4 linked regions of the Anolis sagrei genome follow. The protein of the gene in region 2 purifies or fractionates together with the protein of the main gene of each other region. This does not show direct contact. Links are inferred from orthologs where the notes say so. Each region holds a gene or a part of one and is shown on either strand. Other genes may lie near its edges. The genes, in order: USP8, EGFR, SOS1 and LONP1.

Evidence for each region.
Region 1: the proteins of EGFR (region 2) and USP8 purify together in Homo sapiens (affinity purification with western blotting; 6 studies listed by BioGRID). This does not show direct contact. The link is inferred for Anolis sagrei from reciprocal best matches to the Homo sapiens genes EGFR and USP8.
Region 3: the proteins of EGFR (region 2) and SOS1 purify together in Homo sapiens (affinity purification with mass spectrometry; 14 studies listed by BioGRID and IntAct, with this or other methods). This does not show direct contact. The link is inferred for Anolis sagrei from reciprocal best matches to the Homo sapiens genes EGFR and SOS1.
Region 4: the proteins of EGFR (region 2) and LONP1 purify together in Homo sapiens (affinity purification with mass spectrometry; 3 studies listed by BioGRID and IntAct, with this or other methods). This does not show direct contact. The link is inferred for Anolis sagrei from reciprocal best matches to the Homo sapiens genes EGFR and LONP1.

The regions. Positions count from the first base shown.
Region 1 is NC_090029.1:32,021,573-32,029,118, forward strand, and holds the start of USP8 (ubiquitin carboxyl-terminal hydrolase 8), read right to left. Parts: upstream 3,001-7,546; 5' UTR 2,819-3,000; intron 205-2,818; 5' UTR 129-204; intron 1-128. UniProt on the Homo sapiens protein: Hydrolase that can remove conjugated ubiquitin from proteins and therefore plays an important regulatory role at the level of protein turnover by preventing degradation. Converts both 'Lys-48' an 'Lys-63'-linked ubiquitin chains.
Region 2 is NC_090026.1:66,069,788-66,077,765, reverse strand, and holds the start of EGFR (epidermal growth factor receptor), read right to left. Parts: upstream 3,001-7,978; 5' UTR 2,630-3,000; coding exon 2,554-2,629; intron 1-2,553. UniProt on the Homo sapiens protein: Receptor tyrosine kinase binding ligands of the EGF family and activating several signaling cascades to convert extracellular cues into appropriate cellular responses.
Region 3 is NC_090021.1:22,282,393-22,290,115, forward strand, and holds the start of SOS1 (son of sevenless homolog 1), read right to left. Parts: upstream 3,016-7,723; 5' UTR 2,599-3,015; coding exon 2,512-2,598; intron 1-2,511.
Region 4 is NC_090034.1:58,402,840-58,409,703, forward strand, and holds the start of LONP1 (lon protease homolog, mitochondrial), read left to right. Parts: upstream 1-3,864; 5' UTR 3,865-3,900; coding exon 3,901-4,278; intron 4,279-6,864. UniProt on the Homo sapiens protein: ATP-dependent serine protease that mediates the selective degradation of misfolded, unassembled or oxidatively damaged polypeptides as well as certain short-lived regulatory proteins in the mitochondrial matrix.

The sequences.
Region 1 (7,546 bases), on a different chromosome or scaffold from region 2:
CATATATTAGAAACCAACACTTTCTCTCTTTATTTTAGAGATCAACAGACTGGGCCACAGCAACGCATGGCAGGGGACAGCTAGTAAATAAATAAATATTAGAGAATAAAAGAATCTGCGAACCCCACCTCCTCCAAGATGAACTGAACCACCTAAACTGGGCTCTCCAGGCCAATGGAGACTCCACCTCAGACATCAGAAGAGCTGCAAGACAACCGAGAAGAAGCCACGAGAGTAAAGATGAAGATCCACCCAGAGGGAAAGTGTTCCTGCCATACATCAAGGGAACCACTGACCGCATAGGGAAGCTGAGGAGGAAACACAACATACAAACTATCTCCAGACCCACCAAGAAAATCCAACAGATGCTTCGTTCAGCAAAGGACAAGAGGGATCCTCTCACCTCTGCAGGAGTCTACCGTATACCATGCAGCTGTGGGCAAGTCTACATAGGGACCACCAAATGCAGCAGCGTTGCCCAAACACGAATCAAGGAACATGAAAGGCACTGCAGACTACTTCAACCAGAGAAGTCAGCCATAGCACACCGCACTATTTTAATCCTGCGTTCCTCCTGCCATTTCAGCACTTTTAACCCTGTACCCCATTGCGCTGGCCGGCCCAGTTTTAAAGTGTCTTGATGCATCGTTACTGTTGTTGTTATTTTGCTTAACTATTTGATTTGCTTTGTTTATTGTTGTGTTATGTTTTTACTGTATTGTGTTCTGAGGCTTCTGCCTGTGTAAACCGCATCGAGTCCTTCGGGAGATGCTAGCGGGGTACAAATAAAGTTAATAATAATAATAATAATAATAATAATAGCAGAGCACCTGAGGAACCAATCTGGACACAGCAGATTATTTGAGAACACAGAAACGCTGGACCACTCTCACAACCACCATGTCAGACGACACAGAGAAGCCATTCAAATACACAAGCATGTGGACAACTTCAACAGAAAGGAGGAGACCATGAAAATGAACAAAATCTGGCTACCAGTATTAAAAAACTCTAAAATTACAACAGCAAAACAGCAGAGAGGAAAGAACCAGGCACATCTTAACATCTCTCAACGAAAGATTCCCCCAGGCTCAGCCAGGCCTTCAAATGCTAATGAAGGTGGTCAGTTGAAACATTCACCCCTAGCTCCAGCAGACAAGAGTTCTTATTTATTATTTATTTAGTACACTTGTATACCGCTAATATCTCAGCCTAAAACGGCGACTCATTGCGGTTTACAACATTTAAAAACAACAATATTTCGATTAAAAATATAAAACACATACATATACAATACACAGTATTGGGCCACCAATACAGACCAATGCATCTCTTAATTAAAGTTATAATCCAGTTTCGTTGTCTGTGATTGCCAGTCCTTGATCAAAAACTTCATCGCATCGGATTAGCCGAATGCTTGCTCAAACATCCATGTTTTCAGTTTTTTCCGAAATACCATCAGCGAGGTGGCTGATCTTATCTCTATAGGGAGGGCATTCCAAAGCCGCAGGGCCACCACAGAAAAGGCCCTGTCTCTCGTTCCCGCGAGCCGCACCTGTGAAGCAGGCGGGATGGAAAGAAGGGCCTCTCCCGAAGATCTTAGGGTCCTGGTGGGCTGATAGGCCGAGATACGTTCGGATAGATATGTAGGGCCAGAACCGTTTAGGGCTTTAAAGGCCAAAGCCAGCACTTTGAATTGGGCCCGGTAGCTAATCGGTAGCCAGTGGAGCTGGTACAGCAGAGGAGTTGTATGTTCCCTGCGTCCTGCTCCTGTTAATACCATGGCTGCCGCCCGTTGGACTAGTTGGAGCTTCCGGGCCGTCTTCAAAGGCAACCCCACGTAGAGAGCGTTGCAGTAGTCAAGGCGGGATGTAACCAGAGCGTGGACTACCGTGGCCAAGTCAGACTTCCCAAGGTACGGTCGCAGTTGGCGCACGAGTCTTAACTGTGCGAATGCTCCCCTGGTCACCGCCGAAACCTGGGGATCCAGGCTCAGCGATGAGTCCAGGATCACACCCAAACTGCGGACCTGTGTCTTCAGGGGGAGTGCGACCCAGTCTAACACAGGCTGTAACCCTATACCCTGTTCGGCCCTGCGACTGACCAGGAGTACCTCTGTCTTGTCTGGATTCAATTTCAATTTGTTCGCCCCCATCCAGACCGTCACAGCGGCCAAGCACCGGTTCAGGACCTCGACAGCCTCCTTAGTAGCAGGTGGGAAGGAGTGACAGAGTTGGACATCATCTGCTACAGATGACACCATACCCCGAAACTCTTTGCCCCACCCTGGTCATTCCACAGATATATAAATCCTTTTTCCTAGTTCCAACAGACCTCACTACCTCTGAGGATGCTTGCCATAGATGCAGGCGAAACGTCTGGAGAAATGCCTCTAGAACATGGCCGTATAGCCCGAAAAAACCCACAAGAACCCAGTGATTCCAGCCATGAAAGCCTTCGACAATACAATAAAAGTATTCTCTTGCAGATTTCTTCACCTGTGAAGTGCCCTTGAAACCCAAGCTTCGGTGGGACAAGTCAGCTTTTGAACTCACCTTGAACCTAAGCCACACCGTGGAATTAATGCAGTTTGAGACCCTTTTAACTGCCTTGTGGAATGCTTGGGAGTTTCAAGTGTGCCCACTGAACTGGGCCGTGGCAGTTAAAGAGGGCTCACTTGAAACAGCTCTCGTTCCAATTGAAAGGCCTCCCTCTCTCCCTCCCTTGGGCCAAACCCTCTCTGGCTCTCTCTCTGAGGCGCAGAGCAGGCCTCTCCAGGCCCGGCAGGCCTTTCCCCTCGCTCTAGAGGAGGACTCACCCCGGCCCCGGCCTCGCTGTGCTTCCCTTCAGGGCTAGGCCCATCTCCCGGCACCCGAGCAGCTGAGGAAGGAAGGTAGGGAGGAAGGCAGCCCGAGCTTCTCTCGCCTCTCGTTGGCCGGCCGAGGCGGAACTGAGGGGCGGGGAGACGGGACTTCCGCGAAAGGGGCTGGGCCGCCGGAAGTGTCCGAAAGCGGCGGTGGGGGCCTCCGAGAGGGATGAGGTGTCCGTGGCGGGCCTGAAGAGAAAACGAGACGCCCGCGCTCCCCAAGGGACCTGGACGACAGGCGCGTCCGAAGCCTACTCAATAAGCAACACACTGTGGGGGCCTCTTTAAGTGTTTTGGACTTCGAATCCCAGAAGGCCCCGCGAGCCTGTCCAATGGAGAGGAATCCTGGGAATTGCAGTCCAAAACACAAAAGTTCAGAAACTGGCTTTTAACCCAGGATATAATAATAATAATAATAAGAAGAAGAAGAAGAAGAAGAAGAAGAAGAAGAAGTATTAACGTATTAATATAAGTATTAAGAAGATGTAACGGTGGTCCACGCTCTTGTTATATCCCGAATAGACTACTGCAATGCGCTCTATGTGGGGTTGCCCGTGAAGACTGTTCGGAAACTTCAACTAGTCCAGTGAGCGGCAGCCAGATTGCTCACCGGAGCGTCATACAGGGAGCATACCACCCCCCTGCTATGCCAGCTCCACTGGCTGCCGATTCAGTTCCGAGCACAATTCAAGGTGCTGGTTTTGACCTACAAAACCCTGTACGGTTCCGGTCCAGTGTATCTGTCCGAACGTATCTCCCTCTACATCCCGCCTCGGAGTCTGAGATCATCTGGGGAGGCCCTGCTATTGACCCCACCACTGTCACAAGTGAGGCTGGTGGGGACGAGGAGCAGGGCTTTCTCAGTGGTGGCCCCTCACCTGTGGAACACACTCCCGGGGGAAATCAGGGCATCATCATCCCTCCTCGCCTTTAGGAGAAGGGTGAAGACTTGGTTATGGGACCAGGCCTTTGGGCACTCGGGCAATTAAATCAGACAACCAGGCGAGTAAGACCAGCAGGATTGATGAAGTGGAACGTAAAACTAGATCTATGAGTAGCAAACGCTGACCATGCAAGAGGAGAAACTGGGTTTGTATTTGGTTTTATTGATTTTATGGTTATAATGTATATTTGGTGTTAACTGTGTATTGATGTAATTTTGTGTTGATTGTTTTTATGATGCAGGCATCAAATTGTGCCTTGCTTTTGTGAGCCGCCCTGAGTCCCCTTCGGGGTGAGAAGGGCGGGGTAAAAGAACCCCAAATAAATAAATAAATAAATAAATAAATAATCCTTTAGTTGTAAGAACTGGAACCATGAAACTGAGCTAAAGCTTTGGGCAATTTCCTCCCTTGTTTTCAGTTGCAGATTACCTTTTTATTATTATTATTATTATTAAAATGTCCTTATAGATGGGCCAGTTGGACCATCCCAATAACCTTCTCTGTCCTGCTTCAAGGGGGGATATCCACAAAGGAATCTTTGGGTAAAGTTTAGCCCGTACCTTGGGAAGTCTAACTTGGCCACGGTAGTCCACGCTCTGGTTACATCCCGCTTAGACTACTGCAACGCTCTCTACGTGGGGTTGCCCTTAAAGACGGCCCGGAAGCTCCAACTGGTCCAACGGGCGGCAGCCATGATGCTAACAGGAGCAGGACGCAGGGAGCATACAACTCTCCTGCTGTACCAGCTCCACTGGCTGCCGATCTGCTACTGGGCTCAATTCAAGGTGCTGGCGTTGGCCTATAAAGCCCTAAACAGTTCCGGCCCAAGATACCTAACTGACCGCCTCTCGGCCTATGAGCCCACGAGGACTTTGAGATCTTCCGGGGGAGGCCCTGCTCTCAATCCCGCCTGCGTCACAGGCACAGCTGGCGGGGACGAGAGATAGGGCCTTCTCGGTGGTGGCTCCTCGGCTGTGGAACACCCTTCCCGTAGACATGAAGCTAGCGCCCTCCCTGTTGATATTCCGCAGGAAACTAAAGACCTGGCTGTTTAAGAAGGCATTTGAACAAGATGTGCAATGATTGGTAAATTGACCATAGGAATGGAATAACGGAAATGATACCGGATTGTGGGTTTGACGATGAGATGACACGGAATGGCTTTGTAGTAATGTTGATGTTTTGATGAGGATGTTTTTGATAATGATGAATTGTGGATTATTTTACACTATGTCTTGTATTTTGCACCTGTTTTTCTATGTTGTACACCGCAGCGAGTCGCCCCTGGGCTGAGAATTGCGGTCTATAAGCGAAGTAAATAATAATAATAAATAATAAATAAAATCTGGCCCACATTTTCATTAGCACAGATCTAACAATGGTTGTTTAAAAAAAATCCCTTTTGATTTGGTCGTATCAGAAGTACACGTGCCAGCCAATTCCCAGGTCAAAACCCTCCGATTCTAGTATTTTCTCCTTATTTAGTAAGATCCAATCTTTTATCCAGCTTAGACCGCACACTTCGTAATAGAGGTTTAGATCTGGTAGACCTAGCCCTCCTCTGTTCTTCGCGTCAGTCAAATATCCATATTTTATTCTCGGTCTTTTCCCTTTCCAGATAAATTTTAATATTTCTTTATTCCAGGCGTTAAATAATCTATTGTTCCTAATTATTGGTGCATTCTGGAAAAGGTATAATAGCTTTGGAAGCTTTTAAACAGAAGCTGGATGACCATCTGTCAGGGGTGCTTTGAATACAATTTTCCTGCTTCTTGGAAGGGGGTTGGACTGGATGGCCCATGAGGTCTCTTCCAACTCTATGATTTAGCTGTGTGAAAGGGGCCTCAGGTGACCCAGGGCCCTTCCAGACAGGCCCTCTATCCCAGGATCTGTTTCCAGGTTTTATGCTTTAAATTAGATTATGTGTCCACACTGCCAGCTAATCTGGAATAAACAGAAACCCTGGAACCAGATCCTGAGATATAGGATCTGGAAGGGCCTCTAGTACAGACATTGTGGAATTTTCTGCCTTGATATTATTGGTTATATGGTTGTGTGGAAGGGCTCCGAGATCAGATCCTGGGATAGCGGGGTATTGCGGAAGGCCCCTTGAACCCTTCCACACAGCTGTATAAAATCCACATTGAAGAGGATTATATGGCAGATGTAGACTCAGGCCTGAATTTACTTTCTCTGCGATTTTGAGCCTGTTTGAGTATATTCATACTACTGAGAGTATCCTTTGACTATAAGTAAACTAGTTTACCAAGGTTACTCAGATATTCTATCTGTATGCGCTTTCAGAAGCACACGGAAGTGATCAGTATTATTGCTAGGGCAAGGTATCTGGAAATATGACTGCACTTTCCTGAAGGTCATGTTTACAACTTGATGCACTGCCTTTTTCCATCAGCATTTTCCATTTTGTACCAAAAGAACTGCAGTTAGATTTACCTACAGTCTAGTACAATTTTTGTAAAACTGAGGTTAAAATGTGTGATTTATTGCATGAAGGTTTTCAGTAATCAAAACAATTTTGAAATTATTTTGCACCGTTTTTACCATTCTTTTTTTACCTTTTGTATGTTTTAATCATATTTTGTTTTAATTTTCTTGTAGGCTGTCTTGAGCCCAATGTAGGGAAGAACTCAGGATTTACGAATAAAATAATGAATATTTGAGTCAACAGTGAACATGTCACCATAAAAGCTCTATGGCTATGCAAGCTTCAGTACAAAGATCAGTTCCTCCAAACACGTCATAACACACAGCACTAAATACAAGTTGGTAATTTAGTCAGTGTAATTAGGGAAAAGAGACTCCAGATCACAAAACGTTATAACTTGGTTTTATTAACTCGATTTTATGGCAGTATAGAAGGACCTTGATCTTCCTCCAGTCCAGTTACTTAAAAAACTGACCACCACACATTTGGTACCTTGAATGTTTCCCCTGTTTCTGGGTATATTTGGCAGATTGTTTCCAAAAATGCCACCAGTTTCCCCCCAGCAGTTCTGGTTCTTGAGACAGATGCTATCTAACAGTCACAATCTACTTGTCCATAGAAATCAGGATAACCCTATTTAAGAAACTAGAGATAATGCAGTCTATCTAGTGCAATTTTCTGAATCAGCACCCCAAAGAACCCTGGGAATAAACCTAAAAACCAAGACACACTAATATTTTTTTTGTTGGGCTGTTTTACATAGTTTAAAATTGCAAGCACTTGCACTGTTACATTATTATAATCTTTCGTTACCATTCTGGAGTCACCTATCTCTGCTTTTAGTTCCCTTCAGAAGAGTGACTTTAGCCTAGTCTGGGAAACAAAGCACTTCTGATGGACCTGAATAGCTTTGCATAAGAATGATTAATCTCACCTGTAAACTGGATCAATGTAAGATCTGGAACACAGTTCACTCTTTTCTCTACATTGATCAATGATAATCCAACTTGAAACTGACTATATGCATCTCTGAGCTGCTTTGAATCTCATTTGTGGAGAGAGAAAAATGGGTATAAACAATAAATAATAACGAACTTTCTTTAATGCACACAGCAATGGAAGCTGTTACTACCAAACTTCTTTCTGGATGGATTTTTACTGCCATAGAATCCAGATTATCTGCACTGAACTGGATTACATGACAGTGTAGATGAGACCTTGTCTCATACCCCTTCCACACAGCTGAATAAAATCCCAAATTATCTGTTTTGAACTAGAATATATGGCAGT
Region 2 (7,978 bases):
AGATGTTTGATACTGGTTTCCCTTACTTTTTTCCCCCTCCTCCCTCTTTCACCCCTATTCTTCACTTCCTACTTTTGTTTTAAACCATGTTCACCTACTTTCAGTGTAATAGAAACCAGCTATTGCAGTCATGTCAATGACTTTTTATCTTTGATTAATGTGTGTGTTTATATGTATATGTATATAAATATTATTTATTTGCTACATTTATATACCGCCCCTCCCAGCCTGCAGGAGGCTCAGTGCAGTATGTGTATGTATATATATATATCTATATAAATAAAAATGAAATGTTCGTTTGTGGGATTAACAGAACTCAAAAACCACTGGATGAATTGACACCAAATTTGGACACAAGACATCTAACAACCCAATGTAGGTATGTCCGTCACTCAAAAAATGATTTTGTCATTTGGGAGTTGTAGTTGCTGGGATTTATAGTTCACCTACAATCAAAGAGCATTCTGAACCCCACCAATGATAGAAATGGGCCAAACCTCCCCCACAGAACCCCCATCAGGGCCCCAGCAGCACGTGGCAGGAACAGCTAGTATATATATATATATATATATATACACACACACACACACACACATACACACTAGCCATCCCCTGCCATGCGTTTCTGTGGCCCAGTCTGTGTATATGTGTTTTGTATGTGTGTATATATGTGTTTAAGTGTGTGTATATATTTGTATATATATGTGTGTGTTTGTATATATATGTGTGTGTGTGTGTGTGTGTGTTTATGTGTACATCCATATTGTGTGTATGTGTGTGCTTGTATGTGTATATGTGTGTGCATGTGTATATGTGTACATATAGTGTATTTTTTGAGTTTTTAAGTCTGTTCCACTGGGGTTTTGTGTGTGTGTGTGTTTAGGGGTGATGGACACTCGTTGGACTGTTAGGTGTACCGTGTCCAAATGTGGTGTCAATTTGACTAGTGGTTTTTGAGTTATGCTAACCCCACAAACGAACATTACATTTATATATATATATATGTGTGTGTGTGTGTGTGTCAAAATTTTGTCTATGTCCATGTCATTCACCAATAAAAATGGATTGCAAAAACCAAAAAAACTATGCATCGGTGATGTGCTGTTTGGAAAGATTTGAAATGCTATATTATTATACTACACTAGTGGCCCCCCTGCCACGCGTTGCTGTGGCCCAGTCTGTTGATCTGGAAAATAAAGTAATGAGAAAGTGTTGGTTTCTAATACATGTAGTTTCTTTATGCTTGTGGGTAAACAGTATTTCTTGCTGTTTCTTTGTTGATGTGTTGATGTAGAGATTGTCTAGTTTGCTACTCTGGAGCATGCAATTTATAAATGTCCTTCTTTAGGGGTCCCTTTCAAATCTATGATACTATATCTCTGTGTGAGTGAATCATATCTATCTATCTATCTATCTATCTATCTACATCTATGGCTAGATGACTCTATTTCCCCCAAACTCCACCAGTGTTCACATTTGGGCATATTGAGTATTTGTGTAGAGTTTGGTCCTGATCCATCATTGTTTGAGTCCACAGTGATCTCTGGATGTAGGTGAACTACAACTCCAAAACCACTGCCCACCAAACCCTTGCAGTATTTTCTGTTGGTCATGGGAGAACTGTGTGCCAAGTTTGGTTCAATTCCATTGTTGATGGGGTTCAGAATATTCTTTGATTGTAAGTGAACTATAAATCCCAACAACTACAACTCCCAAATGACAAAATCGGGTTTTTTTTGTTTTTTTTTAGTGATGATCACTCCTTTGGTTGTTAGGAGTATGCTGTCCAAATTTGGTGTCAATTCGTCCAGTGTTTTTTTGAGTTCTGTTAATCCCACAAACGAATATTACATTTTTATTTATATAGATTATTATTATTATTATTATCATCATCATGATGCCATGTAACCATTTCCTAGTACCTTTTTAACGGAATGACCACTCAGGGCCCTTCCAGACATTTTTATTTATATAGATGTCAACATTTTGTCTATGCCCATGTCATTCACCAATAAAAATGAATTGCAAAAACAAAAAAACTATGTGATGCGCTGTTTGGAAAGATCCGAAATGCTATATTATTATATGACATTCTGTATTACTTTGCAAGTTAAGTCTTGATGGGCTGGCTCCCCTTCTGGATTCTAACTGAGAAATCACTCCTTAGCATAACGAAATCAAATGCTACCCCTAATCATATTATATACGAGGGTTAAAACTACAAAACAAAACTATTGCACAACCTGGATGCAGGCATGGGCAAACTGTGGCCCTCCAGGTGTTTTGGACTTCAACTCCCACCATTCCTAACAGCCTCAGGCCCTTTCCTTTTCCCCCTCAGCCGCTTAAGCTTAAGCGGCTGAGGGGGAAAAGGAAGGGGCCTGAGGCTGTTAGGAATGGTGGGAGTTGAAGTCCAAAACACCTGGAGGGCCACAGTTTGCCCATGCCTGCCTGTCAGAAGGGCCATGCCTCTGAGTCGTCTCCCCGGCCTCTCTCTGCTCAAGCGCCCGCCCTTTCCCGGCCTCACTTTCCCCTCAGGCGCGCTTTCCTCACCTCGCTTCTCGTCCGCGGCGGCCAGAGCCAGGAGCAGGAGCGGGAGGGCCCCACAGGACAACCATAGCGAGCCCATCTCCGCCAAGTAGGAAGGAAAGAAGGAAGGAAGGAAGGAGGAAGGAAGGCGCTTGCCTCGCCTCAGCCGCGCTGCTCGCCCTGCCGAGGACTGTTGCAATGTGAGGATGACAACTCCAAGGGGGGAGGAGGGAGGGAGTGAGTGAGGAGGAGAGGAGCCCCCCGCTCCGCCTCTCGCCGGGTCCTCCTCCTTCTCTCTTCAACTCCCAGGAAAACTTTTCTCCTTTTGCGCGCGCGAGGCTGAGGGTCTCCCTCTGCTCTCCCTCTGGTCCGCCACTGGCCTCAATACCTGAGCCCGCCCAGGCGGGGCCTGCTGCTACCTGAAGGGACGGGCCAGAAATTCCAGTCAGGCAAGCTAGGCGAGGCTGAGGCGAGGCAAAGGCTGCTGAAGCGAGCAGCGCGCGCGCACTGCGCAGGCGCGTTCCCTCCCGCGCGCCTCCCGCGTGCAGCATTCGCTCCTTTAGGGTTGCTCGCCCGCCAAGTTTATTTACTTTCTGTTTTGTTCACTTGCAAGGAAGTCGTCTCTGGTTGCTTCTGGATCGAGAGAATCGGCCGTCTACGAAGACGTTGCCCAGGGGACGCCCGGATGTCTTGCAATCCTGCGAGGAGGCTTCTCTCAAGGACCAAGGCAGAGATATCTCCAGCTCATCCCTTGTTTGGGTATCAGCCAGCACATCAACGACTTATAGAATCATAGAATCAAAGAGTTGGAAGAGACCTCATGGGCCATCCAGTCCAACCCCCTGCCAAGAAGCAGGAATATTGCATTCAAATCACCCCTGACAGATGGACATCCAGCCTCTGCTTAAAAGCTTCCAAAGAAGGAGCCTCCACCACACTCCGGGGCAGAGAGTTCCACTGCTGAACAGCTCTCACAGTCAGGAAGTTCTTCCTAATGTTCAGATGGAATCTCCTCTCTTGTAGTTTGAAGCCATTGTTCCGCGTCCTAGTCTCCAAGGAAGCAGAAAACAAGCTTGCTCCCTCCTCCCTGTGGCTTCCTCTCACATATTTATACATGGCTATCATATCTCCTCTCAGCCTTCTCTTCTTCAGGCTAAACATGCCCAGTTCCCTAAGCCGTTCCTCATAGGGCTTGTTCTCCAGACCCTTGATCATTTTAGTCGCCCTCCTCTGGACACATTCCAGCTTGTCAATATCTCTCTTGAATTGTGGTGCCCAGAATTGGACACAATATTCCAGATGTGGTCTAACCAAAGCAGAATAGAGGGGTAGCATTACTTCCTTAGATCTAGACACTATGCTCCTATTGATGCAGGCCAAAATCCCTTAAATCAAGACATAGTTTTCTTAGATCTACAGAGACACTCACTGGAACACCCCAGCAAGCGAGAGTCCAAAAGTGGCAGGCCCAAACCCAGCACCTCAATTCATGGGTGATACCAGATGAGAGACTCCCCCCTGGGCACACAGAAGACTGGGCGACTTGGAAGGCGCTGAACAGACTGCGCTCTGGCACCACGAGATGCAGAGCCAACCTTCAGAAATGGGGCTACAGGGTGGAATCCTTGGCATGCGTGTGCGGAGAAGAACAAACCACTGACCACCTGCTGCAATGCACCCTGAGCCCTGCCACATGCACAATGGAGGACCTTCTTGCGGCAACCCCAGAGGCACTCCAAGTGGCCAGATACTGGTCAAAGGACATTTAACCAAATACCAAATTTGCAAAATCTGTGTGTTTTTTTTCCTTTTTCTTTTTAATCTGTGTGTTTGTTTTGCTCTGTTAGAATTGTAATACAATGGTTGCTGATGACACGATAAATCAGGGGTCCTCAAACTAAGGCCCGGGGGCCGAATGCGGCCCTCCAAGGTCATTTACCCGGCCCTCGCTTAGGGTCAACCTAAGTTTGTAACGACTTGAAAGCACAGAACAACAACAACAATCCTATCTCATCAGTCAAAAGCAGGCCCACACTTCCCATTAAAATACTAATAAATTTATATTTGTTAAAATTGTACTTCATTTTAATTATTGTATTGCATTTAAGTGTTTTTGCACTACAAATAAGATATGTGCAGTATGCATAGGAATTCATTCATGTTTTTTTTCAAATTATAATCCGGCCCTCCAACAGTTTGAGGGACTGTGACATGGCCCTCTGTTTAAAAAGTTTGTGGACCCCTGCCATAGGGATCCAGCTCCAAACAGTAGGGGTTTGGAATCCTCCCCCCTTTACACTTCTTACATGGAATATTGTGTCCAATTCTGGGCACCACAATTGAAAGGAGATATTGACAAGCTGGAATGTGTCCAGAGGAGGGCGACTAAAATGATCAAGGGTCTGGAGAACAAGCCCTTTGAGGAGTGGCTGGGCATGTTTAGCCTGAAGAAGAATCATAGAATCAAAGAGTTGGAGGAGACCTCATGGGCCATCCAGTCCAACCCCCTACCAAGAAACAGGAATATTGCATTCAAATCACCCCTGACAGATGGCCATCCAGCCTCTGTTTAAAAGTTTCCAAAGAAGGAGCCTCCACCACACTCCGGGGCAGAGAGTTCCACTGCTGAACAGCGCTCACACTCAGGAAGTTCTTCCTCATGTTCAGATGGAATCTCCTTTCTTGTAGTTTGAAGCCATTGTTCCGCGCCCTAGTCTCCGCGCCCTAGCAGAAAACAAGCTTGCTCCCTCCTCCCTGTGGCTTCCTCAGGGTAAAAGTATGATAGCTGGATCTGGAAGGCGGGGGGGGGGGAGCTTGCCCCCCCCCCCGAAATTCTCATGGTGGTCCGTGAGAAGGCCTTACTGGTGCATTATTTAAACTGTTACGTTTATTCATATCATGATCTGATCACCATACTCAATATATCCCATATGCATGGGGGTATTGGGGTAACAATACAAAAGGTTTGCTAGGGTAGACCCTCTTTCACTCAGACTCGCCCCCCCCAAATCAAACTTAGCCCCCCCCCCCCCCCAAATCAAAATCCTGGCTATGGGCCTGGTTACGCTGTTTTCGCTTTGCTCCTCAGGAGTGCTATTTGCACAACGCAGAATAATAATAATAATAATAATAATAATAATAATAATAATAATACTTTATTTGTACCCCGCTACCATCTCCCCTGTAAAGGTCCATTGGTTGTTTTGCTTGCTTGCTTGCATGCTGCAAGTCGCTTCTGGTTGCCTCTGGAGCGAGAGAATCGGCCGTCTACGAAGACATTGCCCAGGGGACGCCCGGATGTCTTACAATCCTGCGAGGAGGCTTCTCTCATGTCCCCTATCAACCAATGGCTGATACCAAATGAGAGACTCTCCCCTGGGCACACAGAAGACTGGGCGACTTGGAAGGCGCTGAACAGACTGCGCTCTGGCACCACGAGATGCAGAGCCAACCTTAAGAAATGGGGCTACAAAGTGGAATCCTCGACATGCGAGTGTGGAGAGGAGCAAACCACTGACCACCTGCTGCAACGCAACCTGAGCCCTGCCACATGCACAATGGAGGACCTTTTTGCAGCAACACCAGAAACACTCCAAGTGGCCAGATACTGGTCAAAGGACATTTAATCAACTACCAAACTCACAAATTTTGTATTTTGTCTGTTTGTTTGTTCTGTTAGAAATGTAATATAATTGACTGGTTGCCCTGACACGACAAATAAATAATTTAGGAAGGGGTATTTTGATTTCTCAGCCAGAGAGTTCCTCTAGTGCCTCACCGAACCACAAATTCTGGAAATCCCTAGAATGCAATTGTGGCAGTTAAAGGGGAATTGCAGAGCTATAATTCTACAGTCTGAGCACTCACAGTAAGAAAAAGAGTCTGAAAGGAGAATCAAAAGGGTCAATTTTCTTTAGAAAGCTTGAGCATTTTTTTTCAAAGCCACATCAGTAGCTGAAATTGAATCTATGACACAGATCAAGGTGTAGTAATGGTAGGACCAAAATGATCTGGGTCTTCGAGCAAATCTATGAGAAGGGTCACAATGCTGTGGTTTTTACGTTTATTTAAAAGAGCGTAAGGGGAACATGCAAGAGTGGCCTTTGAGCATACACAGTGTAGAGGAGGTAGACAGAGGTGCCTCCCTCTTTTACAGCATTTGAACTGAAGGTCTTTCAGTAACTCTGAATTGTGGGCACTTCTGGACAGACCAGATGAAATACTTAATTAATCAATGGCCATCCGCCCAAAAGGACTCAAAAGGGATTTGATGGTGAATAAGACTGTCTATGTATGGGGATGAAAGAATACTTCTAAATATTAAATTCTGGGAAATATGAATTTTCACTCTGTAGACCTCCCTAGGCTGAGCGAAGGAAGATAGATGTTTTTGAACTGTGGTGCTGAAGGAAAGTTCTGAGAGTGCCTTGGACAGCGAGAAGATCCAACCAGTCCATACTTCAAGAAATAAAGCCTGACTGTTCATTGGAGGGAAGGATAGTAGAGGCCAAGATGAAGTACTTTGGCCACATCATGTGAAGAAAGGAAAGCTTAGAGAAGACAATGATGCTGGGGAAAATTGAAGGAAAAAGGAAGAGGGGTCGACCAAGGGCAAAATGGATGGATGGTATCCTTGAAGTGACTGGATTGACCTTGAAGGAGCTGGGGGTGGTGACGACCGACAGGGAGCTCTGGTGTGGACTGGTCCATGAAGTCACGGAGAGTTGGAAATGACTGAACGAATGAACAACAAGACTTTCCTATGGCCACTGTCAGGAACTTCTGACCAGAAGTTTATATATCTTTTATATATTTTTATTGATATGTGTTGATTAGATTGATGAACTCTCTGTATTTTTCAGGAACTCTTGCATTTCAGCTATTTTTTTGGGATCCTCCCAGCTCCCACATGGATCTCCCATTTCTTCCATATATTTAGAAATACACTTGAGGTGGCGTGTGGGACAGGCAGGACTGGGATGTGCTTTGGGATAGGGGGCTATGAAGAGGGAGGGAGGAAGGAGAGAAGAAACCACCGGGGATGGAGAACGATGGCTCCTCTTCCATTCCTTCCTCAAGGTGGGAAAATCCCGGAAGAACCCGCTTCGAGGAAGGAGGTTCCTGCAGTAAGGGAAGGAGGTGAGGCCATGTACATCTCACAGAGAATAGGCCCTTGTTGAAAAAAATAGCAAAACACCAACAACTTTATTCTTTAAGAATGTAATAAAAAAGACAAGGCAAACACGGCAATTCCACATTTGAGTAGCTACATTTTCTCACAATTCTTTCTAGTAAATGAGTGATTAAGAGATCTCAGTTTTAGACAAAACAGCATATTCTGGGGTTGTCAGCAATTCTTGGTCACCAAAGCACAAATATTTTTAATGGATGTTGAGGAAAATTATATCTATTAGATCCATTAACATTGTCTAGAGCAGGGGTCCCCAAA
Region 3 (7,723 bases), on a different chromosome or scaffold from region 2:
AATGATGTCAATAAAATAAAATAAATAAAATAAATATAGTAATATATAATACAGATATTGTGCTATGCTAATAATATAATATATTATATATATATATATATCTTGTAAGCCGCTCTGAGTTCCCTTTGGGGTGAGAAGGGCGGCATAAAAGTGTTGTAATAATAAAAAACCAAATAAATAAAAGCGGCACCCAACATGGCCAACTTCTGGTCAAAGGAAATTTTGTATAATGTCAAGTTTTTAAAATTGCTGAACAACTGACTATGGTATGTTTAATGCGTTGCTTTAGGCACATTGTGCCATATGTAAGCCACCATAAGCTCCTTCAGGGAGATGGAGGTGGGGCACAAAAATAAAGTTTCTTTATTTATTTAGAGCTTTTATAACCTGGTTTTCTCGACCTCTGAAGAGGGACTCAGGCCGGCTAACAGCAGAAAATTCATACACACATAGAATAAACATAATAGCATCATAATACATTAATACAAAAATACATTAAAATACAGATCATACAATTACAAATCCAGGTCGTCAGAGTAAAATCACAAATTCATCACCATCTGCCAGTATGGTCAGCCGTTATTGACTCAATCATCATTCTGCAAATGCTATATTCCAAAGCCAAGATTTTACCAGCTTTCTGAAAGTCAGGAGGGAAGGGGCAGATCTAATCTCCAACGGGAGAGAGTTCCAGAGCCGAGGGGCCACCACCGAGAAGGCCGTGCCCCTCGTCCCCACCAGACGCGATTGCGAAGGAGGTGGGACCGAGAGCAGGGCCCCTCCAGAAGATCTTAACAACCTTGATGGTTCATAGGGGAGAATCTGTTGTTGTTCATAGGTGAGAATCCGTTGTTATTGTTGTTGTTGTTATAATAATAATAATAACAATAATAATACGAAACGACTCCAGCCCAATTTACCTGTCCGAACGTATCCTCCCCTATGAACCATCAAGATTGCTAAGATCGTCTGGAGGGGCCCTGCTCTTGATCCCACTGGCCTCACAGGCGCGGCTGGTGGGGACGAGAGACCAGGCCTTCTTGATGGTGGCCCCTTGACTCTAGAACTCCCTTCCACTGGAGATCAGAACTGCCCCTTCTATCTTAACGTTCAGGAAACAGGTGAAAATTTGGCTTTGGGGATTGGCATTCGACGAATGAGCCATGATCCTGTGACATGGATGGGTGACGATGAATAATGATTTTTGATGATGACTGACCACTGCAATTATATGATTGTATTTTGCTATTTTAATGTTTTAGTGTGATTTAGAATATGATGTTTTAATGACTGTCTGTAATATTGATGTTGGAAACCGGCCTGAGTCCCTCGAACGGAGGTGAGAAGAAGACCAGTATACAAAACTGGTTCCGGCCCAAGATACCTATCCAACCGCATCTCGACCTATGAGCCCACCAGGACTTTGAGATCTTCCGGAGAGGCCCTGCTCTTGATCCCGCCTGCTTCACAAGCACGGCTGGCGGGGACGAGAGATAGGGCCTTCTCGGTGGTGGCTCCTTGGCTGTGGAACACCCTTCCCGTGGACATTAGACTGGCACCTTCCCTGATGATATTCCGCAGGAAATTAAAGACTTGGTTGTTCAAGAAGGCATTCGAATAAGAAGTGCAATGGTTGGTAATGACTACAGGAACGGAACAACGGGAAATTATATTGGATTGTGGTTTGGACGATGAGACGACGCTGAATGGTTTTCGTAGTAATGATGTTTTTGTATAATGCTGGATTGTGAATTGTTTTTATACTGTGTCGTGAATTTTGCTGTTCCTATGTTGTACACCACTGTGAGTCGCCCCCGGGCTGAGAACAGTGGTATAGAAGTAAAATTAATTAATTAATTAATTAATTATAGGTTTTTGTTCAGCTGTGTGGAAGGGGCCAGAGTTGAAGGTAAACAACAAACTTCTAGCTTTGTTTCATGATCTCCGTTTTGGAGATCTAGTCACTGATCTGACCTGCTTTCAATGACGTTTAATACATGTATATTTGAAGTTGTATTGCCACGCTTTAGTTGCGAACCGCTTTTGAGTCTCCTATGGAGAGACAAAGCGGGATATAAATAAACATCAGAAGATGAGTTCCAGAGCTGAGGGGCCACCACCGAGAAGGCCCTGTCCCTCATCCCCACCAGACGCGATTGTAAAGGAGGTGGGACCGAGAGCAGGGCCCCTCCAGATCTTTAACAACCTTGATGGTTCATAGGGGAGAATCCGTCGTTGTATTATTATTATAGGTTTTTGTTTAGCTGTGTGGAAGGGGCCAGAGTTGAAGTTAAACAACAAACTTCTAGCTTTGTTTCATGATCTCCGTTTTGGAGATCTAGTCAGTGATCTGACCTGCTTTCAATGACGTTTAATACGTGTATATTTGAGGTTGTATTGCCACGCTTGAGTTGCGAACCGCTTTTGAGTCTCCCTAGGGAGACACAAAGCGGGATATAAATAAACATGAGAAGATGCCCTGCTTCTCCTCCTTGGAAACACGGGACTCACCTTCTTCAAGGCGGGCACCAGCAGGCCCCGCCACTTGGGCGCGTTCTCCTCGCTGAAGAAGTCGTACTGCAGCGGCGGCGCCTGCATCCTGCCCGCCCCGTCCCGGGCCCTCGGCGTCGGGGAAGCGGCGGAGTCAGTGCTGGGGCCCAGCCCGGCCTGGTGGGGCCTGTCCCTGTCGCTGGGCCCGGGCCGAACCTGCGCAGGGCCGAGGCGGAGGGCGCCGCTGAGGCTGAGGCTGGGGCCAGGACCCGGCGTGGAGGCCCGGCGCCGGCGACATCCCTCCCTTCCCGGCCTCGCCTCACGCAGACCCCGGGCTCTCCGGCATCCTTCTCCTTCTGCTTCTCCTCGGCCCTGACAGGAAGGAAGCGGAAGTGCAGGCCGCAAAGCAACGGTGGCTGAGGGAGGGAGCCAAAGAGGGCTTCGAACTCTCGGGGGCGCTTCCCTTGCCGTCCCTGACGGTTGCAACCTCCGGCGCGTGCGCAGTGGGCACAAAGGCCGACCGGGCATGCGCAGTCGCGGCGCGCTCCCCCTCCCCTCCTCCTCCTCTGGCTCCGCCCCCCTCTCGCTCCAGTCCTGGCCTCGCTTCTTCCCTTTTCCGCGCCGTCCAGGCGTGCGAGTCGAGAGCCGAGCCCTCGAGCTTCCTTCCACAACCTTGCTCCCCCTCCCCTCGCCACTTCCAGGCTTGCTAGTCGAACGCCGAAGTGTTTTCATGATCGGTGGTGGAGGGAAGACAGCAAAGCAGAGCACCTCTTGTCATACCGCCACCTACCCCTTCTGATCACAGCGCCACCTGCGGCCTGGAGGACTCAAGTATTTTTTTTATTAGTCATTTCAATACTGAAAGGGTTTCAGGCCTTTTCAACAAATTGGTTTTATTTATTTATTTATTTGCTTTATTTCTACATTTTTCAGCCTAATTAGGCGACTCAATGCGGTTTACACAATGCAGGTTATCACAACAATAAACAGTTAAAAACACATCATACACAACAACAAAATCAACAATTATTATCAATTCATGACGCCTCGATAACAGAACAAAATCAATTCTCATAATCCTTGTGCCATTCCTATGTTCAATTTTACCGTCTTCCTGTGTTCAGTTGCACTGTTTAGCCAAACGCTTGCTCGTAGAGCCAAGTCTTAACCTTCCTCCGGAACGCCAGCAGCGTCTGATGTCTACAGGTAGGGCATTCCATAGCCGAGGGGCCACCACCGAGAAGGCCCTGTCCCTCGTCCCCGCCAACCGTGCCTGTGACGCAGGCGGGACCGAGAGCGATCTTAATGTCCGCATCGGTTCATAGGTGGAGATGCGTTTTCAGGCCAATCCAACAAATGCTCCATTCAGCAAAGGACAAGAGGGATCCTCTCACCTCTGCAGGAGTCTACCGTATACCATGCAGCTGTGGACAAGTCTACATAGGGACCACCAAACGCAGCATTGCCCAAACACGAGGCCGAACAGGGCATAGGGTTACAGCCTGTGCTGGATGGGGTCGCACTCCCCTTGAAGGCGCAGGTTCGCAGCTTGGGTGTGACCCTGGACTCATCGCTGAGCCTGGAACCCCAGGTTTCAGCGGTGACCAGGGGAGCATTTGCACAGCTAAAACTTGTGCGCCAGCTGCGCCCGTACCTTGGGAAGTCTGACTTGGCCACGGTAGTCCACGCTCTGGTTACATCCCGCCTACACTACTGCAACGCTCTCTACGTGGGGCTGCCCTTGAAGACGGCCCGGAAGCTTCAATTAGTCCAATGTGCGGCAGCCATGATTCTAACAGGAGCGGAGCGCAGGGAGCATACAACCCCCCTGTTGCGACAGCTCCACTGGCTGCCGATCTGCTACTGGGCTCAATTAAAGGTGTTGGCGTTGGCCTATAAAGCCCTAAACGGTTCCGGCCCAAATCCTGTCCAAACGCATCTCCTCCTATGAACCCACCAGAACTTTGAGATCTTCCGGGGAGGCCCTGCTCTCGATCCCGCCGGCTTCTCAAGCACGGTTGGCGGGGACGAGAGATAGGGCCTTCTCGGTGGTGGCCCCTCGGCTGTGGAACACCCTTCCTACGGACATTAGGCTGGCACCATCCCTCATGGCATTCCAAAAAAAGTTTAAGACCTGGATGTTTGTGCAGGCGTTCGAGTAATCTAGTGCAATATTTGGTAATTGAACATAGGAATGGAACAATGGACAATGAACCTGGACTAGGCTTTGACGATGAGACGATTGGGTTTGGTTATTGTAATAACTGTTATTATAATTGCTTATTGTTTATTAGTGGATAATGTGTTAAGTGGTCTATTGTTACGTGTTGCATTGAATTATTGCTGTTTTTACTGTGTGTGAACCGCTGTGAGTCGCCTCCGGGCTGAGAACAGCGGTATATAAGCAAAGTAAATAAATAAATAAGGAACATGAAAGGCACTGCAGACTACTTCAACCAGAGAAGTCAGCCATAGAAGAGCACCTGATGAACCAACCTGGACACAGCATATTATTTGAGAACACAGAAATGCTGGACCACACCAACAACCATCATGTCAGACTACACAGAGAAGCCTTTGAAATCCACAAGCATGTGGACAATTTCAACAGAAAGGAGGAGACCATGAAAATGAACAAAATCTGGCTACCAGTATTAAAAAACTCAAAAATTACAACAGCAAAACAGCAGAGAGGAAACAACCAGGCACATCTTAACACCTTTCAACAAAAGATTCCCCCAGGCTCAGCCAGGCCTTCTAATGCTAATGAAGGTGGACAGTTGAAACATTCACACCTAGCTCCAGCAGACAAGAGTTCTTTGCCCCACCCTGGACATTCCACAGATATATAAACCCATTTTCCTAATTCCAACAGACCTCACTACCTCTGAGGATGCTTGCCATAGATGCAGGCGAAACGTCAGGGGAAAATGCCTCTAGAACATGGCCATATAGCCCGAAAAAACCCACAAGAACCTGGTTTCAGGCCTATTTAACCCTGAGTTTTATCTTAAGGACAACGAGCCCTGGGTGGCACAGTGGGTTAAACCCCTGCACCAGCAGGACTGAAGATCAACAGGTCGTAGGTTCGAATCCGGGGAGAGTGCGGATGAGTTCCCTCTACCAGCTCCAGCTCCTCATGCGGGGACATGAGAGAAGCCTCCCACAAGGATGATAAAACATCAAAACATTTGGGCGTTCCCTGGGCAACGTCCTTGCAGACGGCCAATTCTCTCACACCAGAAGCAACTTGCTGTTTCTCAAGTCACTCCTGACAAAAAAAAAATCTTAAGGACGATGATTATGTCATTACCGCTCAAGTAGGGAGCTTTGAGATGGTTGAACAGAAGCTCATAGCACAAGTACCCTTACCGCCTACTACAGGGAAAACCAGCTGATTCTAATCCATCTAAAACACAGACATGTGCCTTTCACCTTAAGAACAGACAAGCATCCCGAGCTCTGAGGATTATTACCTGGGAAGGAATCCCACTGGAGCACTGCAGCGCACCGAAATACCTGGGAGTCACTCTGGACTGTGCTCTGACCTACAAGAAGCACTGCCTGAATATCAAGCAAAAAATGGGCGCTAGAAACAAAGGCTGCACGTTTTCAATGACCAAGTGCTAGGTCATCTGCATATATGAGAGTCCAGGGACACATAGTCTGCCTAGTCCATGCAGAGTCTGAATAGTAATGTTGAGAGTGCTGATCCTTGAAGCACGCCAACAGTGATGTTGAAGGGTGGTGAAATCTCTGCAGGGCAGCTGACCATACTTGTATCATTGTATAGTAGCTTTATCCATTGGTGCAACAGCTATGTGACTTCATAGTCCAATTTGATTTTTCATAAGTTTAATGAGCGCTGACTATATACCTTTGTGTAAACTTGCTTGCTCTTTTGTAGATCTTTTTTTCTTTTCTCTTTTTTCCCTTTTTTGTTTTTCTGTTGTCTGCTTTGCTTCTTGTGTACACTATAAAACAATAAAAATTAAAAAATAGTGATGCTAGAAATGTAGCACCACAGTCTTTGAGCATTTTCCAAATTTCAGCTGGTATGTCATCTGGGCCAGTGGCCTTTCTATGCTTCTTTCTTTGTATGGCTGCATTTACTTCAGTGACTGTGATAGCTGGTACTGGGCCGAAGACTGGAACAGAGCTTATTACTGGTGGGAGGGGAAATTCTATATTACTGTAGGGAAAATAGTCAGATCATATTTGTAGGATAGTTTGAGTGTTACGCAATATTTCACCATTTCTTTACCATTACTCACAACCGCTTTCTACCTGAGAAACTTTTACATGACCCTAGACATATAACTGTAAAACTCTAATGTTTACTGATAATACATCAGTATTTTCAGGCTGATCTTTCTTTTTATGAACTACAGCTGAAGCATTTTCTGCAGAGTCCACTGTAAAGACTGCATGTTGTTGCTAGCAGGCTCATGTAAATGGGTAGCATTCAGAAACTTTATTGTTGCCAAATGTTTTATGACACCAACACTGAGCAAAGACCCAAAGTTTATGAAGTGGTTTGGTAGATGACCTTTAAGAGACTGCCTAATTTTATGCTCCATTACAGTATTTTAGTTAAGATGCTTTGTCCATTCCTCAGATGTTTAATTTCTTCAGAAAATGAGTGCAGATGGCAATCCAGATATACAACAAACATGTTAAAAAAAGTTTATTTTACATTATATACATTAGGAAATATCCAAAAGCATTACCAACAACATCGATACAGACCATAAATCACTTTTAATGTAGTTATTCTTAGTTTATATCACAGTATAAAGAACATATACAAAAAAAGCCAATATGTGCATTTCCCAGCTAAAACTTGGCATATACATATTACTGCATTGGAAAACAATCAAAAATCTTTTCGCTCAAAATTAAAAATTCCTGTGATGTGTAATAAATCATTTAAATTGTTTGTGTGAGGTAGTAACTAAATCATTTTGGCCGGGTGTTAAGACATTAAAAGGAAAATGTGAAAAACAGTAGTAAGGCCAAATATTTTTTAAAAGAAAAAAGGCCAAATTAAGACAATTAATTCATTGCTGCGGTAACCGACAACTCATTTTCATACGAAGAACAGTTGTTCTGTGGGTGTATTCCCATATGGCAGTAGGTTTTAAGCTTCTGGCCTTAAGAGAAATTAATGTGTTTCCTGAATAAACCCCGGCATATTGCATGGGATTTTTGGTACAGGGAATACACCATTCAC
Region 4 (6,864 bases), on a different chromosome or scaffold from region 2:
GCTCTGTGACTATTGTGCAAGGAACACAAAAACATTGGAATCCTTGGGGGATGGAAGGATCAGCCACAAATGGCTCTGCGACTATTATGCAAGGAACACAAAAATGTCAATTTCCCCACTCATAAAACAAAGGGGTTGAGACTATTTCACTATGTAGCAAAATTGGAAAACATTTTTGTTTCTTGCTTGAATGTGCTATTTCCTGTTTCATTGTTCAGAGAAGGAAGGAAGAACCAGCCCCAAATGGCTCTGCGACTATTATGTGAGGAACACAAATATACCAATTTTGTCACCCCCCAAAAGGGTGTGTGACTATTATGAGATTAAATATGGTATGTTTAAAAATGTAATTTTATAGATGTATTTAACTATGTTGTGCGGTCGTTATTTTGAAAGTAGTTCTCCTCCAGAAACTTCCGTTTTTGTCCCACAGTCTATGTTGTATTAGTTGAGATGTTCGTTGAAAAAGTACCACAAAATGTGTTACAGCACACAGAAACAAAGTTTTTGCAGTTTAATAGACTTTCCCAAACAGCTATAGTTCCCATTACTCAGGAGACACCAATGGTCCTCCCTCCAATGACACTGCAGGTTATAGTGAACACCATGAACATGTCCAGGAGCTCTGCTAATGTGCTCCACCAACACCACACTGCTCACCACCCAAGAGAAGGCACAACTTCATCCAGATTTTATGTGTTTCCTTCACCACAGACAACCCAGTATTTCGTACTCTCTCCATTGGTGTGGAATTTGCATGACCCTGCCCACTGCCTCTCAACCCTTTCTTATTCTTTTCTATGGCACACAACAGAGGAATTAATCACCAACTCAACATACTAGAGAGTTTTGGGGAGAATTCACCATGATTTATAGGAGTTGTAGGTACTGGGATGTATAATTCACTTGCAATCTAAGAGCACTCTGAACTTTACCAAAGATGGAATTGGACCAATCTTGGCACACAAAACATACTGAAGGGATTTGGAGGAGTTGTAGTTCACCTACATCCAGAGAACACTGTGAACCCAAAAACCGATGGATCTGGGCCAAACTTGGCACGCATACCCAATATGCTGAAATTGATTACTGGAAGGGTTTGGGGGGAAACTGACCTTCCTTTCTGGGAGTTATAGTTCAACCACAACCAGAGAAACTGACTTCCACCGATGATGGACCTAGTCCAAACTTGGCACACAGGACCCCCATGACTAACTCAATCTACTGGAGGGATTTGAGGGGACTGACTCACCATAGTGGGAATTGTAGTTCACCCGACGGTCAGAGAGCACACTGAACCCCACCGATGATGCATCTAGAGCAAACTTGCCCAACATAACTAACTTTAAGTGATGATGGAGTTTCGGGGGTTAATCTGACATGATATGAGTTGTAGTTCACCCACAACCTTATGTATTTTGTACAATTGCAATTTGACTTTTTAAAAGTAACCCTTGGGAAGTCTGATCTGGCCATGGTGGTCCACGCTCTGGTTACATCCCGAATAGATTACTGCAACGCGCTCTACGTGGGGCTGCCTTTGAAGCCGGTTCGGAAACTTCAGTTAGTTCAACGGGTGGCAGTGAGATTACTAACTGGGGCAGCATAAAGGGAGCATACCACCCCCCTGCTATGCCAGCTCCACTGGCTGCCGGTCCATCTCCGAACCCAATTCAAAGTGCTGATTTTGACCTATAAAGCTCTATACGGTTCAGGCCCAGCGTACTTGTCCGAACGCATCTGCCCCTATGTCCCACCTCGCAATTTAAGATCATCCAGGGAGGCCCTGCTCTCACTCCCATCAACGTGGGGCTGCCCTTGAAAACGGCTCAGAAATTTCAACTGGTCCAATGGGCAGCGGCCAGGATGTTAACTGGTGCTCCTTACAGAGAGAGGTCAACCCTCCTGTTCAAGGAGTTCCACTGGCTGCCATTTATCTTCTGAACCCAATTTAAGGTGCAGGTGCTAACCTACAAAGCCCTAAACGGTTTGGGACCATCCTACCTGCGTGACCACATCTCCGTTTATGAACCCTTGCGCTCACTTCATTCATCCGGAGAGGCCCTGCTCACGATCCCACCTGCGTTGCAGGCGCGTTTGGTGGGGACTAGGGACAGGGTCTTCTCTGTGGTGGCCCCCTGACTTTGGAACGCCCTCCCCAAAGATCTTAGACAGGCCCCTACGTTGGCAGTCTTCAGAAAGAACTTGAAGACCTGGCTGTTCCGATGTGCCTTTCCAGAATAGGAAAACTCCAACAAGTCCCAGAAGCACTTTATTAGAAATTAAAATTGCTGGCACACTGCACTTACCCTATAATCCTTACATATCACCTGTCACATCAGCACTTTTAATCTGTACCCATTACTCTGGCCCGGCCCCAGTTTTATTGTGTCCTGATGTATTGTTTTATTGCTTGTTGTTTAATATTGCTTTAACTGTTTTTAATTTGCTTTAGGTTGTGTATTGTTATGTTGTGTTTTGAAGCCTTGGCCTTTGTAAGCCGCATCGAGTCCTTCGGGAGATGCTAGCGGGAAACAAATAAAGTTAATAATAATAATAGTAATAATAATAATAATGTATTGTCGAAGACTTTCATGGCTGGAATCACTAGGTTCTTGTGGGTTTTTTTGGGCTATAGGGCCATGTTCTAGAGGCATTTCTCCTGACGTTTCTCCTGCATCTATGGCAAGCATCCTCAGAGGTAGTGAGGTCTGTTGGAATAAGGACAATGGGTTTATATATCTGTGGAATGGCTGGGGTGGGGCAAGGAGCTTTTCTCTGCTGGAGCTAGGTGTGAATGATTCAACTGACCACCTTCATTAGCATTTGAAGGCCTGGCTGAGACTGGGAAAATCTTTTGTTGAGAGGTGTTAAGATGTACCTGGTTGTTTCCTCTCTGCTGTTTTGCTGTTGTAATTTTAGAGTTTTTTTAATACTGGTAGCCAGATTTTGTTCACTCTAAAATTACAACAGTTGAAACATTCACACCTAGCTCCAGCAGAGAAAAGCTCTTTGCCCCACCCCAGCCATTCCACAGATATATAAACCCATTGTCCTAAAGACCTGGCTGTTTGAGCAGGCGTTCGAATAATTAGTGCAATGATTGGTTAATGAACACTGGAATGGAACAATGGATGACGAATCTGGAACATGTTTTTGATGACGAGACGACAGTGAATGGGTATTGTAGTAACTGTTTATTAATTGTGTAATGTGTTAGGTTGTTAACTGTTTCTATACTGTAGCACTGAATTTTTGCTGTTTGTATTTGTTGTGAACCGCTGTGAGTCGCCTTCGGGCTGAGAACAGCGGTATATAAATAAGGTAAATAATAATAATAATAAATAACCCACTGCGCCACCGGGTTCTCCTTGTAAATAAATAATAATAATAATACCGTGGCCAAGTCAGGCTTCCCAAGGTACGGGCGCAGCTGGCACACAAGTTTTAGGTGTGCGAATGCTCCCCTGGTCACCGCTTCCTAAGATCTGCAGAGACGCTCACAGGAACACTTCAGCAAGCGAGAGTCCAAAAGTGGCAGGCTAAAACCTGGAAGCTCAATCAAATGAGAGACTCCCTCCTGGGCACACAGAAGGCTGGGCAGGGCCAACCTTCGGAAATGGGGCTTCCAAAGTGGAGTCAACAACATGCGGGTGTGGAGAAGAGCAAACCACGGGCCACCTACCAGCCTGAGCCCTGCCACATGCCCCATGGAGGAGGACCTTCTCTCAGCCACACCAGAGGCACTCCAAGTGGTCAAAGCAAATCTAGTGTCATGCGTGCGTGATGACGTCTGACGCCAGTTTGCTTTCGAGTCGGCCTGCTTGCCTGACTCCCGGCGTCAGCGTGCGTGATGACGTCCCGACGCAGCGCAGTTTTGTCATTCCGCGCGCCGGCAAGATGGCGGCGGCTGCTGCCTCAGCAGCACGCGCGCTCCGTCTTCTGTGGCGCTGCGGGCGAGCGCCGCCTTTCTCCTCCCCGCTACGAGCTTGCCGCGGCCGGCTGGCCTTGACTCGAGGCCCCAGGCTCCCGTGGGCGGAGTGGGCCTCTTCTCCGCGCCGTTTCCTGCTCTCCCGCGGCGCCTCCTCCTTTTCCTCTTCCTCCGGGGACGGGCCTGAGGGGAGCGAATCCGGAGGGGAGGGCGCTGGCTCCGGCGATGGCACCCCTCCGGTCGTGACGGCGCTGGCGCCCCTCATGGTCCCCGAACACGTCCCACAGGTGCCCCTCGTCGCCGTGGCTAGGAACCCCGTCTTCCCGCGCTTTATCAAGATTCTCGAGGTGAGTGGCTCCACAGGATCCCATAGAATCATAGAATCAAAGAGTTGGAAGAGACCTCATGGGCCATCCAGTCCAACCCCCTGCCAAGAAGCAGGAATATTGCATTCAAATCACCCCTGACAGATGGCCTCTGATTCAAAGCCTCCACCACACTCCTGGGGCATAGAATCACAGAATCATCAAGTTGGAAGAGACCTCATGGGCCATTAAGTCCAACACCCTGCCAAGAAGCAGGAATATTGCATTCAAATCACCCCTGACAGCTGGCCATCCAGCCTCTGTTTAAAAACCTCCAAAGAAGGAGCCTCCACCACACTCCGGGGCAGAGAGTTCCACTGCTGAACGGCTCTCACAGTCAGGAAGTTCTTCCTCATGTTCAGACGGAATCTCCTTTCTTGTAGTTTGAAGCCATTGTTCCGCGTCCTAGTCTCCAAGGAAGCAGAAAACAAGCTTGCTCCCTCCTTCCTGTGACTTTCTCTCACATATTCATACAGTGCTATCATATCTCCTCTCAGCCTTCTCTTCTTCAGGCTAAACATGCCCAGCTCTTTAAGCCGCTCCTCATAGGGCTTGTTCTCCAGACCCTTGATCATTTTAGTCACCCTCCTCTGGACACATTCCAGCTTGTCATTATCTCTTTTGAATTGTGGTGGCCAGAATTGGACACAATATTCCAGGTGTGGTCTAACCAAAGCGGAATAGAGGGGTAGCATGACTTCCCTAGATCTAGACACTATGCTCCTATTGATGCAGGCCAAAATCTCTGCATCTATGCAGAGATAGATAGATACAGAGAAAAATAGATGCACAGATAGATAGCAGATAGATACAGAGATAGGTAGATGCAGGCATTGATGCATAATAGATTCACAGACAGATAGGAGCACAGATAGATAGAGGTATAGATTGTTGCATAGACAGATATAGATAGATGCAGAACTAGATAGGTAGATAGATGCACAGATAGGTGGATGGATAGATGCAGAGATAAATAAATATAGAGACAGATAGGTAAAAAGATGTATAGATGCAGAGATGTATAGATGCAGAGATAGATAGGTTGATAGATAGGCTGATGGATAGATATATGCAGAGATAAATAGATGCAGAAACAGATAGGTAAATAGATGGATAGATGCAGAGATAGATAGATGCAGCAATAGATTGATGGCTGGATAGATGGATGGATAGATGTAGAGATAGATAGGTAGATAGATGCAGAGATAGATGGATGGATAGATGCAGAGTTAGATGCATGCATGCATAGATAGATGGATAGATGCAGAGAAAGGTAGATAGATGCATGCATAGATGGATAATAGATGCAGAGATAGGTAGGTGCACAGATAGGTAGATGTATAGATAGATATAAATAGATGCAAAGATAGATAGTTGCAACGAACGATGCATATGTAGTTACATGAATAGATAGATGCATTCATAGTTACAAAGATGATAATAATAACAACAACAACAATAATAATACAAACTGAACATCTCAAGGATTTGAGCACAAAGACCTTGGATAGGATTCATTCTAACTGGAGCTTTCTGCCCACAGTATCAGATTTTGCTTAGTCCTTGAGCCTTGTTTTTCTCTCTCTCTCTGTGGCCTTCAGTCATGGAATTTGTCAAATTACACCATGTAACACATTTGTTTCTTCCTGAGTTATCAATGTCATTTTCTAATTGGTTCTATCATTAAAGACATGGAAAAAGTTTATTAAACGACATAAATTTTATTTTGGCAGAGGGACATCCTGCAGGAGATTTTGCTCTAGTTTTTCAATGAATATCTTATTGAGTCTCGACCAATTTAACGTAGTTTGTGGCCACAGAAACAAAGTTTCTGGAGTATGACAATTACTTTCAAAGTAGGTACCGCACAAGTAAACGGGAAATAACACTTTCAAACCAGAAAATGTTTTCATATTTTGTTACATTGTGTAATAGTCACCATCACATAATAGTCTCACCCCTATTTTTCGGTTGGGGAAATTGATATGTTTGTGTTCCTTGCATAATAGTTGCAGAGCCTTTTGTGGCTCATCCTTCCTTCCCCGAAAGCAAGGCAGTTTACAAAGTATAAAACTGACGTCTCTAGAGCTCCTCTCTTCATTCCTCTCTCCTTCTTCAAGGACTTTTGGCAGTTTAGAACAGCTGAAATAGAGATCTTTGGAACTCAGATCTTTCCTCCTTTCTCCAAAGAGCATTTTTCTTTGTAATAAGCTCCTTTCATCCTTAGAAGTACCAAGATATCCTTCTATATTTCTGGTGGTCTCATCAATGTTAGAATTGACTCCCAAGTTAGTTAGTCATTGATTGAGATTTCAGTGTTGTTTCATCATCTCCGTTGCCCTTTGCTCCTCCTTTGAGGAGAGACGTTGGCTTCACCGAACCAATAATTGCTTCTTTGTTTTCTATATTTGTGAGGAAAATGTGACTGCTGACCTTCTCCTCTTCAACCCAAGGTTATCTTTGTCAACTTGGTTTCAAATTTATGTATTTTTCCAACTGCTAAAAAAAGGGCCAAATGAATGGAACAATTCTCAAAGATTCTGCGGAATGTCACAAAAGGCCTTCCTC